Linked DNA regions of Daphnia pulex. The protein of the gene in region 1 binds, or shares a complex with, the protein of each later gene. Links are inferred from orthologs where the notes say so. Each region holds a gene or a part of one and is shown in the gene's direction. Other genes may lie near its edges.

The links.
Region 2: WASH complex subunit 5-like (region 1) and WASH complex subunit 4-like share a complex: the UniProt entries of both Homo sapiens proteins name them as parts of the WASH core complex. The link is inferred for Daphnia pulex from reciprocal best matches to the Homo sapiens genes WASHC5 and WASHC4.
Region 3: WASH complex subunit 5-like (region 1) and WASH complex subunit 3-like share a complex: the UniProt entries of both Homo sapiens proteins name them as parts of the WASH core complex. The link is inferred for Daphnia pulex from reciprocal best matches to the Homo sapiens genes WASHC5 and WASHC3.

What each region holds. Positions count from the first base shown.
Region 1 is NC_060017.1:7,246,441-7,250,198, forward strand, and holds the start of WASH complex subunit 5-like, read left to right. Parts: upstream 1-1,606; 5' UTR 1,607-2,087; exon of another isoform or gene 2,088-2,104; intron 2,105-2,163; 5' UTR 2,164-2,396; coding exon 2,397-2,521; intron 2,522-2,589; coding exon 2,590-2,680; intron 2,681-2,737; coding exon 2,738-2,929; intron 2,930-2,997; coding exon 2,998-3,218; intron 3,219-3,280; coding exon 3,281-3,506; intron 3,507-3,581; coding exon 3,582-3,758. UniProt on the Homo sapiens protein: Acts as a component of the WASH core complex that functions as a nucleation-promoting factor (NPF) at the surface of endosomes, where it recruits and activates the Arp2/3 complex to induce actin polymerization, playing a key role in the fission of tubules that serve as transport intermediates during endosome sorting.
Region 2 is NC_060026.1:1,374,478-1,378,235, reverse strand, and holds the start of WASH complex subunit 4-like, read left to right. Parts: upstream 1-1,093; 5' UTR 1,094-1,268; coding exon 1,269-1,332; intron 1,333-1,399; coding exon 1,400-1,917; intron 1,918-1,983; coding exon 1,984-3,758. Other genes in the region: protein Wnt-2b-A-like, read right to left, coding at 1-49. UniProt on the Homo sapiens protein: Acts as a component of the WASH core complex that functions as a nucleation-promoting factor (NPF) at the surface of endosomes, where it recruits and activates the Arp2/3 complex to induce actin polymerization, playing a key role in the fission of tubules that serve as transport intermediates during endosome sorting.
Region 3 is NC_060025.1:880,099-882,806, forward strand, and holds WASH complex subunit 3-like, read left to right. Parts: upstream 1-1,024; 5' UTR 1,025-1,134; coding exon 1,135-1,185; exon of another isoform or gene 1,186-1,252; coding exon 1,253-1,417; exon of another isoform or gene 1,418-1,458; intron 1,459-1,539; exon of another isoform or gene 1,540-1,653; coding exon 1,654-2,031; 3' UTR 2,032-2,146; downstream 2,147-2,708. Other genes in the region: 60S ribosomal protein L44, read right to left, coding at 163-300, 368-541, 894-896. UniProt on the Homo sapiens protein: Acts as a component of the WASH core complex that functions as a nucleation-promoting factor (NPF) at the surface of endosomes, where it recruits and activates the Arp2/3 complex to induce actin polymerization, playing a key role in the fission of tubules that serve as transport intermediates during endosome sorting.

The sequences.
Region 1 (3,758 bases):
AGTATTGGGATTGTAACATTGGCCACTTTTACCATTATTTGGTATCTATTTTTACAATTTCATAATGGGCTTTTGCAACAAGTTCTCTCCAGAGTCTTTCCTTTCAACCGCGGAATTTTTGAAGATTATGTTGCCAACTTCTGGTGCACATTAAATGTTTTGGTCAAAATCCGACGAATAATGGAACCCACCGCTATCGCTAGATATTGTTTACTGCTAACAGCTCTTTTCAGTTTCCCTTGTGGACTTCATCTATATTTTAAGAACAGTTCGCGTAATTTGCATATCTCTTTGATCAACGTGTCTCTTGCATTTTTCCTATTCTCCTATCAATCTCCTATCAATCAAGTGTCTGGTGTTTGGCTAAAGTGCCGTAAACCAAACATCATCAGTGAAATACTCCATTTTCTAATAAATGAGACACTTGATGGACACTCTTTTGACAAATAAATAATAATAATAGAAATATAAAAATGGCCATTTGATGCATGCCGCCTACGAGATTTTTTCCATTGTTTTTCCATTTTCCATGATCATGGAAACAAAGTATTTGCTGGCGAGTAACAACATTTGTGATTTGATGGTCCCGACGTGTTGCGATCCACGTCAAAATAATTCGTTAAATTTGAAATAAAATGACAACCTCCTAATTATTCATTTAAAAAATAGCCGTGTTTTGGGGCTCAAACAATTATTTCGATAAAAAGAAATCGTTAGAAGTGCCTAACGAAACTCAACTATATTATTCCCTGTAATTTCATGTAAACTACATAAATGAATCCCTTAGAAATGACAATCAAAACATAAAACAAATGACGAACGCTGCTCACAATACCAGGACTGTGGCGTTTCTGACATTACAAATATCTAATTTAAATGTTAAACTAATCACGATGTAAACTACATCTTTCCTTGTAGTTTTTCACGCAGATTCAGCTGATAAAGAAAATAATGCCGAAAAGCGCAAAGTGTGAACGCCAACTGTTCCCTAAACATGACTAAACTACCGAACCAATGGGAAACCGTTCACACAACGTTTAAACCAATGGGAAGCCGATAAGAAATCACATGACATCCACTAAACATTTTTAGACCTTTGTAGCGCAGACATACGGTTACGTTAAATCGCAAATGATTATTTAAAAATATACATAGAAAATACATCACGGTTGTGCTTACGATTGTTTCTCTAAAGACAGATCTTTAATCGCTGTATGGGAAATTTGGTTATTGCTGGACACAGGAACATTCAATGAAGTCGCCAAAGACGACCTAAATTTTTTGGGCGACGGACCTGCAATGTGCGACATGATGCACCGATATAAAAAACTCTATTAAGAACACAGCCATGCATAAAGATTGCACATAACGAATTTAACGATACCATTCCCTCACTACCCTATACATATGGTTCCCCTAGCGACCACACCCATCATTACAAAATGAACGATTATGGTTTATATATTGCCCCGATTTTACTGCCACCTCTTTCACCTCAACATTTGCCATTATTTCCAGCTATTGTACTGCCATCTTGGGGGGGGGGGGGATGACAAAAAACGAATACATAGTTATCCCAATAGCCACAATAACCCGAAGGCGTATACCCAAGGACCTTGTTTGGTCATGGCGGCTTTAAAGTTTATACGACGAGTTTTAGTAGCTACCAGTTGATTAATAGGGAAGCCATTAACTGGAGTAGACATTTAGCAAATGGAGTGCATTATTTAAAAAATAAATGTGTTTACTTTATCGAATTAGTCAACTGAAATTTTAAAAAGGTTAGGCAGACGTAGTCGTGCGGGGGGTGCGGGTTTTAGCGTGTTAACTAATAACTAACCAACGGAGAAATGTTTCAAGTTGAATTCTCAAAATTCAAGGTTATGGTTTTTTTTCAGGGAAAGTGTAAATAAAAGTTTTTCCATGTTTGTCATTGATATTGATTGCTGGTAATTGAGACGTGCAAACCCCGTGACGTGAGTGTTCTGTGCGACACCTGAGCCTTAAAAAATCACACGAAACTGAATGTGGAACCAAGGACTAAATTGACTCTATAATCCTGAGGGGAAAAAATCTCCGTTTCTTCCGTACGCCGCACAATTTTGTATAAAATTATTGTATTTTGTTTTATGAAATAATTATTTATGTTTATTTCCCTTTTAGCCGTCACGTTTTAGCTATTTACCGGAAAAAATTGGAATGGTTGTTAAAGCAGAGACATCTATAAACGAAAAAAGATTTAGCGCATGTTGTCAGGCCTGTGCCTTTATTTTTCACAAGTTTTGACAAGTGATCAACGTAAACAGACGAGATTATAAATTTAGAATTTAGCCAGATTTAGCCTAAATTTATTATTCTATGGATACGCCCGGCTCGACAGTCAAGTTTAATTAATCATGGCTGAAGATTTTTTAGCAGAAAATAATCTGTGTGGACAGACCCTTTTGAGATTGGTTTCAAGAGCTCATGCAATAATTGCTGAACTATTACGTCTAAAGGATTTTATTCCACAGATTTTTCAGTAATAGTCACTTAAAATCTATAAATCCAGTTATATTATTTTATTATTATTATTGTTTTCATTGTAAGGTCCGATCAAAATAAATATCATGAAATTGTATTGGATTTTCGATATTTTAAAGAACAAGATGTCTTTGATTCAAAGATTAATGGAAGCGATGTAAGTGAGTTATCAATTCAGATTTTTTCTCCATTAAAAATTCACATCTTACTCTAGGTTTTAGTGGAATTGGATGAGGAGTTACGAAAGAATTATATTGAAATCCTAACAAGATTCTATCTTGCATTTGAAAGTGTTCACAAGTATGTCTGTGATTTGAACACCTTTCTTTATGAACTTGATGAAGGGATTTATATCCAACAAACTCTTGAAACAATTATTTTAAATGATGAAGGCAAACAGCTCATGGTTGGTTATAAAAATGAATTTTTTATATATGCTTCACCTTTTTAAACTAACCTTTTTTTCCTCTGCAGTGTGAGGCACTTTATCTATATGGCATCATGCTACTAGTCATAGATAATCATGTTGATGGGCCTGTTAGGGAGAGAATGCTAGTCTCTTATTACAGATATTCTGTTCAAAGAACTCATTCTAATTCCAAGTTGGATGAAGTATGCCAGCTATTGCGTTCAACTGGATTTTTGAAATCTCAGCCAGGAAAAAGGCCTCAACATTACCCAGAAGACTATTTCAAGTAGAATGAATTCTATTATTTTTGATTCATTTTAAGTAATGCCTATATGTGGTTGTTCTTAGACGTATTCCGATTGCTCCAATTTATTTGGATGTAGTAATAGGTCATTTGAGATCAGATGATATCTATCACCAAATTGCAACCCATCCGCATCCTGATCACCGAAGCACTGCACTTGCTCAACAAGCAGCCATGCTCGTGATTTGTCTTTATTTCACTCCTGATATTCTCCACAATCAAACAGCAAAAATGAGAGAAATAGTTGACAAATTCTTTCCAGATAATTGGGTAATTAAGATTATTATTAATCTCTTCCGGATACCAACGACTCCAATATGTTGTAATTGTATGGTTCTTTTCTAGGTTACCAGTGTTTATATGGGATTAATTTTCAACTTAATTGAAGTATGGGAGCCGTACAAAGCGGCGCGAATGGCACTCAGCAACACAGCGCAGGCTGCCAATGTAAAAGAGTGTTCAGTTAAGCATAGCAACCAATTGGACCAACTTATAACACAATTACGTCAATTACTCAAAGAA
Region 2 (3,758 bases), on another chromosome or scaffold:
TGGTGATGACGGCCAGGAATAAGACACTGCTGATCCAGTGACAGCGCATTCTCTTTGATTGGGCGATGAGTTGATTAGATACAAGAAATCCGTTAACAGTATAGACACACACACACTGAATCCTCTCAATCACTCGGGAAGAAATCAATCAATCAGTGAGCCACCATAACACACACACATAGAACTGGCCGGCCACTAAACTAACAAAATATAAACAAAGCCGTACAAGTGTTACGATTTTCTGTTTGGGGGATAAATTGACTGTGAAAGTTTTGAAAAGTTGAAAAGAACTGGTGGTGGTGCTGCAAGTAGCTGGTGGTGATACTCGGCCGATGGCCAGAACGGGAATAAATACTTTGGGCCACCCAGTCCGGCTACATATACTTAGGTGGACCAAGAGGGTTGGGTGATGTCTGTGTGTGGGTGGAGCGAAATAAAATAAAGACGGGCGCCCAGGATATATAGATTCACAAGTTACAATTAATAATTTTTGGGTACTGGGGCGGAATCGTGAGAAAATTCTTCGATTTCGCACCTCATCCGCTATGTCCGATCCGTCGAGACCCTTGGCATATCTCAGGTGGGTTGTTTAAATCGAGCCGCTGTATATCTATGCTACTGCTGCTGGACCTGTCCGGTGTGGGTGACCTTGCGCGTTCACTTTTTTCTCACCATTTGCCCAGTAGTACGGTTGTCCAGGAAAGAATGTGGCACCCACCCAGACATTTCGGGGTGGTGCGAATAATTCACCCCACCGTCTAACTCCTCTCGTAATTCCCACTGGGGTTGTATAAAACAAGATCAACCCGGCGTCATTAGTTTTCATCATATTGGATTGGGGTGAGGGGGAGAGATTAATCCACCACCCCCAATCGATTGCTGGGCCCAGGTTCCCCGTAATCTATTTTCTCACGATGTTTTAGACCGTGGGAAACCATTTCGCCAGAAACACATCAAAATGTTTTTCGATTGACCATTTATAGTTGTTACGTCACAGTTATTCTTTGTTATCTCAATACCCTTGTTACACTAATGTTACATCATCGAAAGATGTAAATTAACCAATTTGGAAAAATTGGAACTGTTTCGATTTAATCCCATCTGGCAACTTTGTGATCTAGCAGACGACTTTGGTATTCCGAGAATTTGAAGATTCAGATTATTTTTTTGTGTTTCCAGAGCTTGTTTACGTGTTATTATAGTCACGGGCGTTTTTTAAATGATTTAATTGATTTTTATTGAAATATCGTGTTGCTTTGATTTTGAAAATGGTAGGGATGAATGGGAACTCGACAGTTTCCAACCACGAGTATGGGAGATATGCCGCAGAAAGTGAGTTGGTTTCTTTTTTAGTTGTGGTAATCAGTTTCACTAATCTTTTGCCCTTTTTTTAATGTAGAGGTGGCCAAAGAATATGTTGCAAGAGAATATAGCGAGTTCATGGTCAAGTGTGGCTCGGATCTGGAAGCTGTGTGTCAAATTCACGAAAATTTGAGCAAGGAAAATGTCAGTCAGACAGTCAGTCTGGATTTAGTTCCCAGCGAAGACATCTCCCTAGTCGACCTTGTCCACTCTGATCACGAAGAGCTGAGAAAAGTCGTCCTGGCTTTGGGGCATTTAGTCAGCGAGATGGACTTTCTGGTTGAAGAGGGGAGGTCCTTCTATTACCCTCTCCTCTATTACGGTGAGGGTGTGGACGAGAAAGCTCTGCAGTCTGGAGAGGGCCATGCATGTGCCGGTAGAATGGTCGAAACATTGCAAAAGTTGTTGAGCTACGTCAACTATTGCTACAAAGTGATCAAAAACATGGTGGGCCAGCTTTCAAGATTGTACTGCAGCTCAGACGCTGGACCAAAATACTTTGAGATTGGCGAAACCCATTTCAAAATCATTTTCGAAAGAATGGGATGTGTGCTGGTATTTTAATTCTCAACTTTTCTCTCAAAAATATCCCGAAACTAACACACACTCTTTGCTTTTCAGTCAATCCTTGTGAATTTGGATTCCATCATTAACCGAAACAACTTGCTGAGGGAACATGTTGCTCAGCTGCAGCATGTAGTTCGATCCATTCAACACAACGCCTCCAATTTCGACACGACGCCGGAAGATTTGCGGCTGCTGGACTTGTCGCTCGACGAAATCACCGAGAAAACTCTTTCGGGCACGCTCTTCCTCCGATGCATGAACCAGAGTTTCCCCACCAGCAACAACAAAGTCTTGCTGGACGAGATTTCAGCCAACGTCAAGGGCTTCCTCGAAGAATTATCGTTCCGTCTGGACAAGGAAGGCGAGCGGGACAATTACGAGAACATGCAAAAGTTCCTCAGCATCGTCTGCCTGTTTGTCCTGCACGCTCACATTGGCCTGAAAGTGGACAACCGCCAGCTCAAGACCATCCTGGATGTCGCCAAAAATTCCATCATGGCCGTCCCTCTGGTCGGGTCGTGTCTGTGGTTCCCTGACCAATTCTTGTCGCTCTATCTACCCCGTGGAGACCGGGCCGTCGATAGCAAAATGCTGGAAAGTGTCGGCTCTGCCCGGTTCCAGTACGTCCGCCAGCGTTCCCAGCAGCTGGCCAAAGACCTTCAAATGTGGAACACGAAAATCGTCCTCTGGCTGTCGAGGCTGAGCGGCCAGCACGTCAACAGTCAAGAAGAATTGACCAATCAGTGCTGTTTGGTCCTGCAGGGACTTCGCTACGTGGCCAAACTGAGCGGCGTCGTCCGTCTGATATTGAACCTCCACTTGGCCATCCAGCCAGTCATTTCCAAAGGCACAGTCATGGCCGCCTTTCAGACGTTTGAGCTCATCAAGACCTTGCAAAAGGCCATCGAGAAACAGCTGACGGATTACCCTCAAGCCTGGATGCACCTGCAACAGCAGCTCCGTCGTTCCGTCTCCGACGTAGTCCAGTTGGCCGCCAAGCGATTAGCCGGCGAGAAGAGCAGCAAGAAACGTCCCCGGAAGACGGTCAGCGCGGCTCTGGCGTTGGCCCAGCGAGTCCTGAAAGGTCCCTGCACATCATCCCGTGTTTCGACGGCCAGGATTTCGCTGGCCATAGCCTGCACCGCCTTCCAGGACGAAGAATTGTCCTTGCTGGCCCATCGCCTCCAGAAGATGGAGCTGCTTTCCGTTGGCATACGCCACCGCTTGAGTTACCTGGCCGATTGCGAAGTCTTTTACTGGCACAAATCTCTCCTCAACACTTACCTGCCGGAAGCCCGTGAAAGACGCTTCGAATCGTCCCGGATTGGACAGACTCTGATGGCCGTCATGGACTGTGAATCGGCTCTGGCCAGCGTCAAGCATCTGGCCAATCCTCGACAGCTGGTGGAAGGCCATCAGAAATTCATCCGCCGAGCCCTGGACGTCCATATTTTGGAGCCCCTGTGCGCCTCGGTCGAGACGGAATTACGGATCCAGTCGCACGCCCATCTCCACCCGACGCCCCGCAACCCGTTCAAAGAGTCGCCTTGTTTGAGCGCCCTGGGCGACTTGCCCCTGGGCCGGCACGAGCAGCTGAGCGTTCCCCACCGGGTGGAACACTATCTCGGCCAGACGTTCTACAATCTGGCCGCTTTGGCCTCTCACGATTGGCGCAAGTACGGCCAGATGAGACTCTTGGCCGGATTGGCTTTCAACCTGAAGCCGCTGCCCGACCGGCTGCCCAGCCAGACCCTGGAGCAAGGGCTCGACGTCCTGGAAATCATGCGCAACATTCACCTGTTTGTGGCCCGTTTCGGCTACAATCTCAA
Region 3 (2,708 bases), on another chromosome or scaffold:
TTTTTCACCTAGCAAATATTTGAAATCAATAAATACCCAAATGTCTCGCATGGAGCCATTTCCCTACATTATCATAGGGATTAAGGAAAGTAATGAAGACTAATAACAGACTATAGGCGCCAAAGATGTTGTATTGGCCAGCACAAGGTGATGACAAACAGTCTAGAACTGAATCATCTGTCCCTTCCTCTTCTTGTCACCTCCAAGTTCAAAGTGCTTGCAACGCTTGAGGGGGATCTGCTTGCGGACTTTGCATTCTGAGCACTCCATCCTCAGGACAATCTTTTTAGTGGTCTTGGCCTGCGTAATTCAACAATGAGAAGCATTAGTACACAATTCAAGTGAACCAATCTTTAAGTCTTCATACCTTCTTCCTGAAAATAGGTTTGGTTTGACCACCATAACCCTTTTGTTTTCTGTCGTAACGACGACGACCCTGGGCAGCACTACGCTCCTTGGATTTCTTGTACTGCGTCACTTTGTGGACCTTGTGGGTCTTGCATTTTTTGCAGTAGGTGCGACGACTCTTTGGTACGTTCACCTAAAACGAGATCAACAAGTCATGAGCCGGTGTTTTCGACAACAAATTATGACAGTTTAAATGCACAACATACTTAACAACCACATACTTACAACTACAAAGAGAAATTTACACCTTAAACTTTTAAGTAATGCTAGTATTAACAGTCAAAATAACATGTCTAGTCAAGGTATCCATATGACAGACAGAGTGACAAAACAGATTTTATACCAGTCAAACGAAAAGTCTACCAATTGACACAGAATGCTAATAAACATCATCGAATTCTACTGCAAAAAGAGATGCTATATAAACATATAAGATGGTTAAATATCAAAGGATGTTGCGAGATATTAAATCGACGAGACTATACCATTTTCGGACGAACAGGCGAACGAAGTGGAAATGAGACAGAATTCTCTCCTCCGGATTGCAAGTGAACAACAGAGTTGCCTTGTTCCTCAAATAATTCGACCGCTGCGCCTGAAGGGGATGGATTCTGTGTCGTCTGCTAGAAGAAAAACAAAACAATCAAACGCGACATTTATCCCATGGATGTGATTTAATAATTCGTATATTCCACGTCGTTCTAATCAAGGAAGAAATACTAAGGGATGGAAAATAAAGGACTACCTTTTTTCGGTCCTACTGTCGAGTTCTCTTCGGTTCGTTTGTATTTTTCATTTTCGTTTAAATTGGATGATGGCAGTAACACATTTTAATGTTTGACAGGTTCCGCCCATCGAAACTAAAAGAATTTTGAGCTATTTCAACCAGTTTGTTTCCAATTCAGTTCAGTTACTAAACAAATTTGCAATTATATGTGATACCAAATTGCTGGATCTCAACTTTCGACTACAAGATGTTGAAGCCACATTAGCCATTCTCGAAGCAAAGGTAAATTCCTTCATTTAAACATTTCAATTCCACCAGCTCTTCTTTAAAGATGCATAAATAGGGAAAATTGGTATGAAATTAAATTTTCATGAGAAACAAATTTAGATTAAGCAAGACCATACCTACTCAGTTATTTAACAATACATGTCGAGCCAACTCACTCAAGTGTATCACTTTGGGGTATGTTTATCATTTATAGACAATGAATGGCTGATTCTTTTTTCTTTTGAAAACAGTTGGCTTCAGTTCCTGCACTGGAAACTACTTCAATACCGGCCATCCCACCTACAGTGCCTGCCACCAGCTCAGAATCTGTACCAGTGGCTGCAAGCGTTCAGATCCTTCCATCCGCCGTTCCACCAGTCTTTCCTGAAGATGTTTCTAGCGTCCACCAGACGGCGGTGGCGCCTCCGAATCCCGAAATCCTTCGGTTCGTCAAAATGCTTGCCTTTGGGGTTCCGTTAATGGCCGTCGAGCAGAAAATGCGAGCAGAAGGTTACGATCCATCGCTGCTCAACAGCGGCAAAGTTGACGTCACCAAGGCCCCACCAGCACCGCGATCAACCCATTCGAGCTCCGACGACGACGAAGAATCAAACAGCGACGACTATTAACACAAATAACAATTAATCATTTTCCCCGAGACTTATGAAATTTCAGTCTTATCGTGCCTGTATACTTGATGCATGGAGAAAGGATTCCGATCATACATAGACATAATCAATTCTCGATCGACGGTTGTAACCGGAGAGCCTTGATGAGAGAGTCCGAACGCGTGATGATTTATATGTTTGGCCCCACGTATAGACAATATACCACAACAACAACAACAACACTCTTGAATAATGCATGTCAAGAAAAAGAGTCACGGGCCCAGCACTCAGGCCGATTGCCAAGACTCGTACGTCCTTGAGAAAAGCTTCCAGTTGTGCGTTAGACGGGAGAGATGATCTCTCCGGACAGCCCACACGAGGATCCCGACAGCCAACCCCACCACTCGGCAGATCCAGCAGTTTCGACGTATCAAAGCCCCCCCCGCATATTGATTTGACAATGACACAAACAGGCCTCTAATATCGTGTTAGTGCTGCAAATCGTCGGTTGGGTTGGTTTTTTTAAATTTTTATTTTTTTTTTCATCCTCTCCCAGTCGAGTCAATAAAATGAAATGCAACTAAAAAGGGGTGGTGTATTTTTAGATAACACGGACCCGGCGAGTTTAATTTTAAAACAAGCTCGTCGCCCAGCTGTACACCTCGGAACTCTGGAGAAAAAGAAAAGAAGAAACTTGG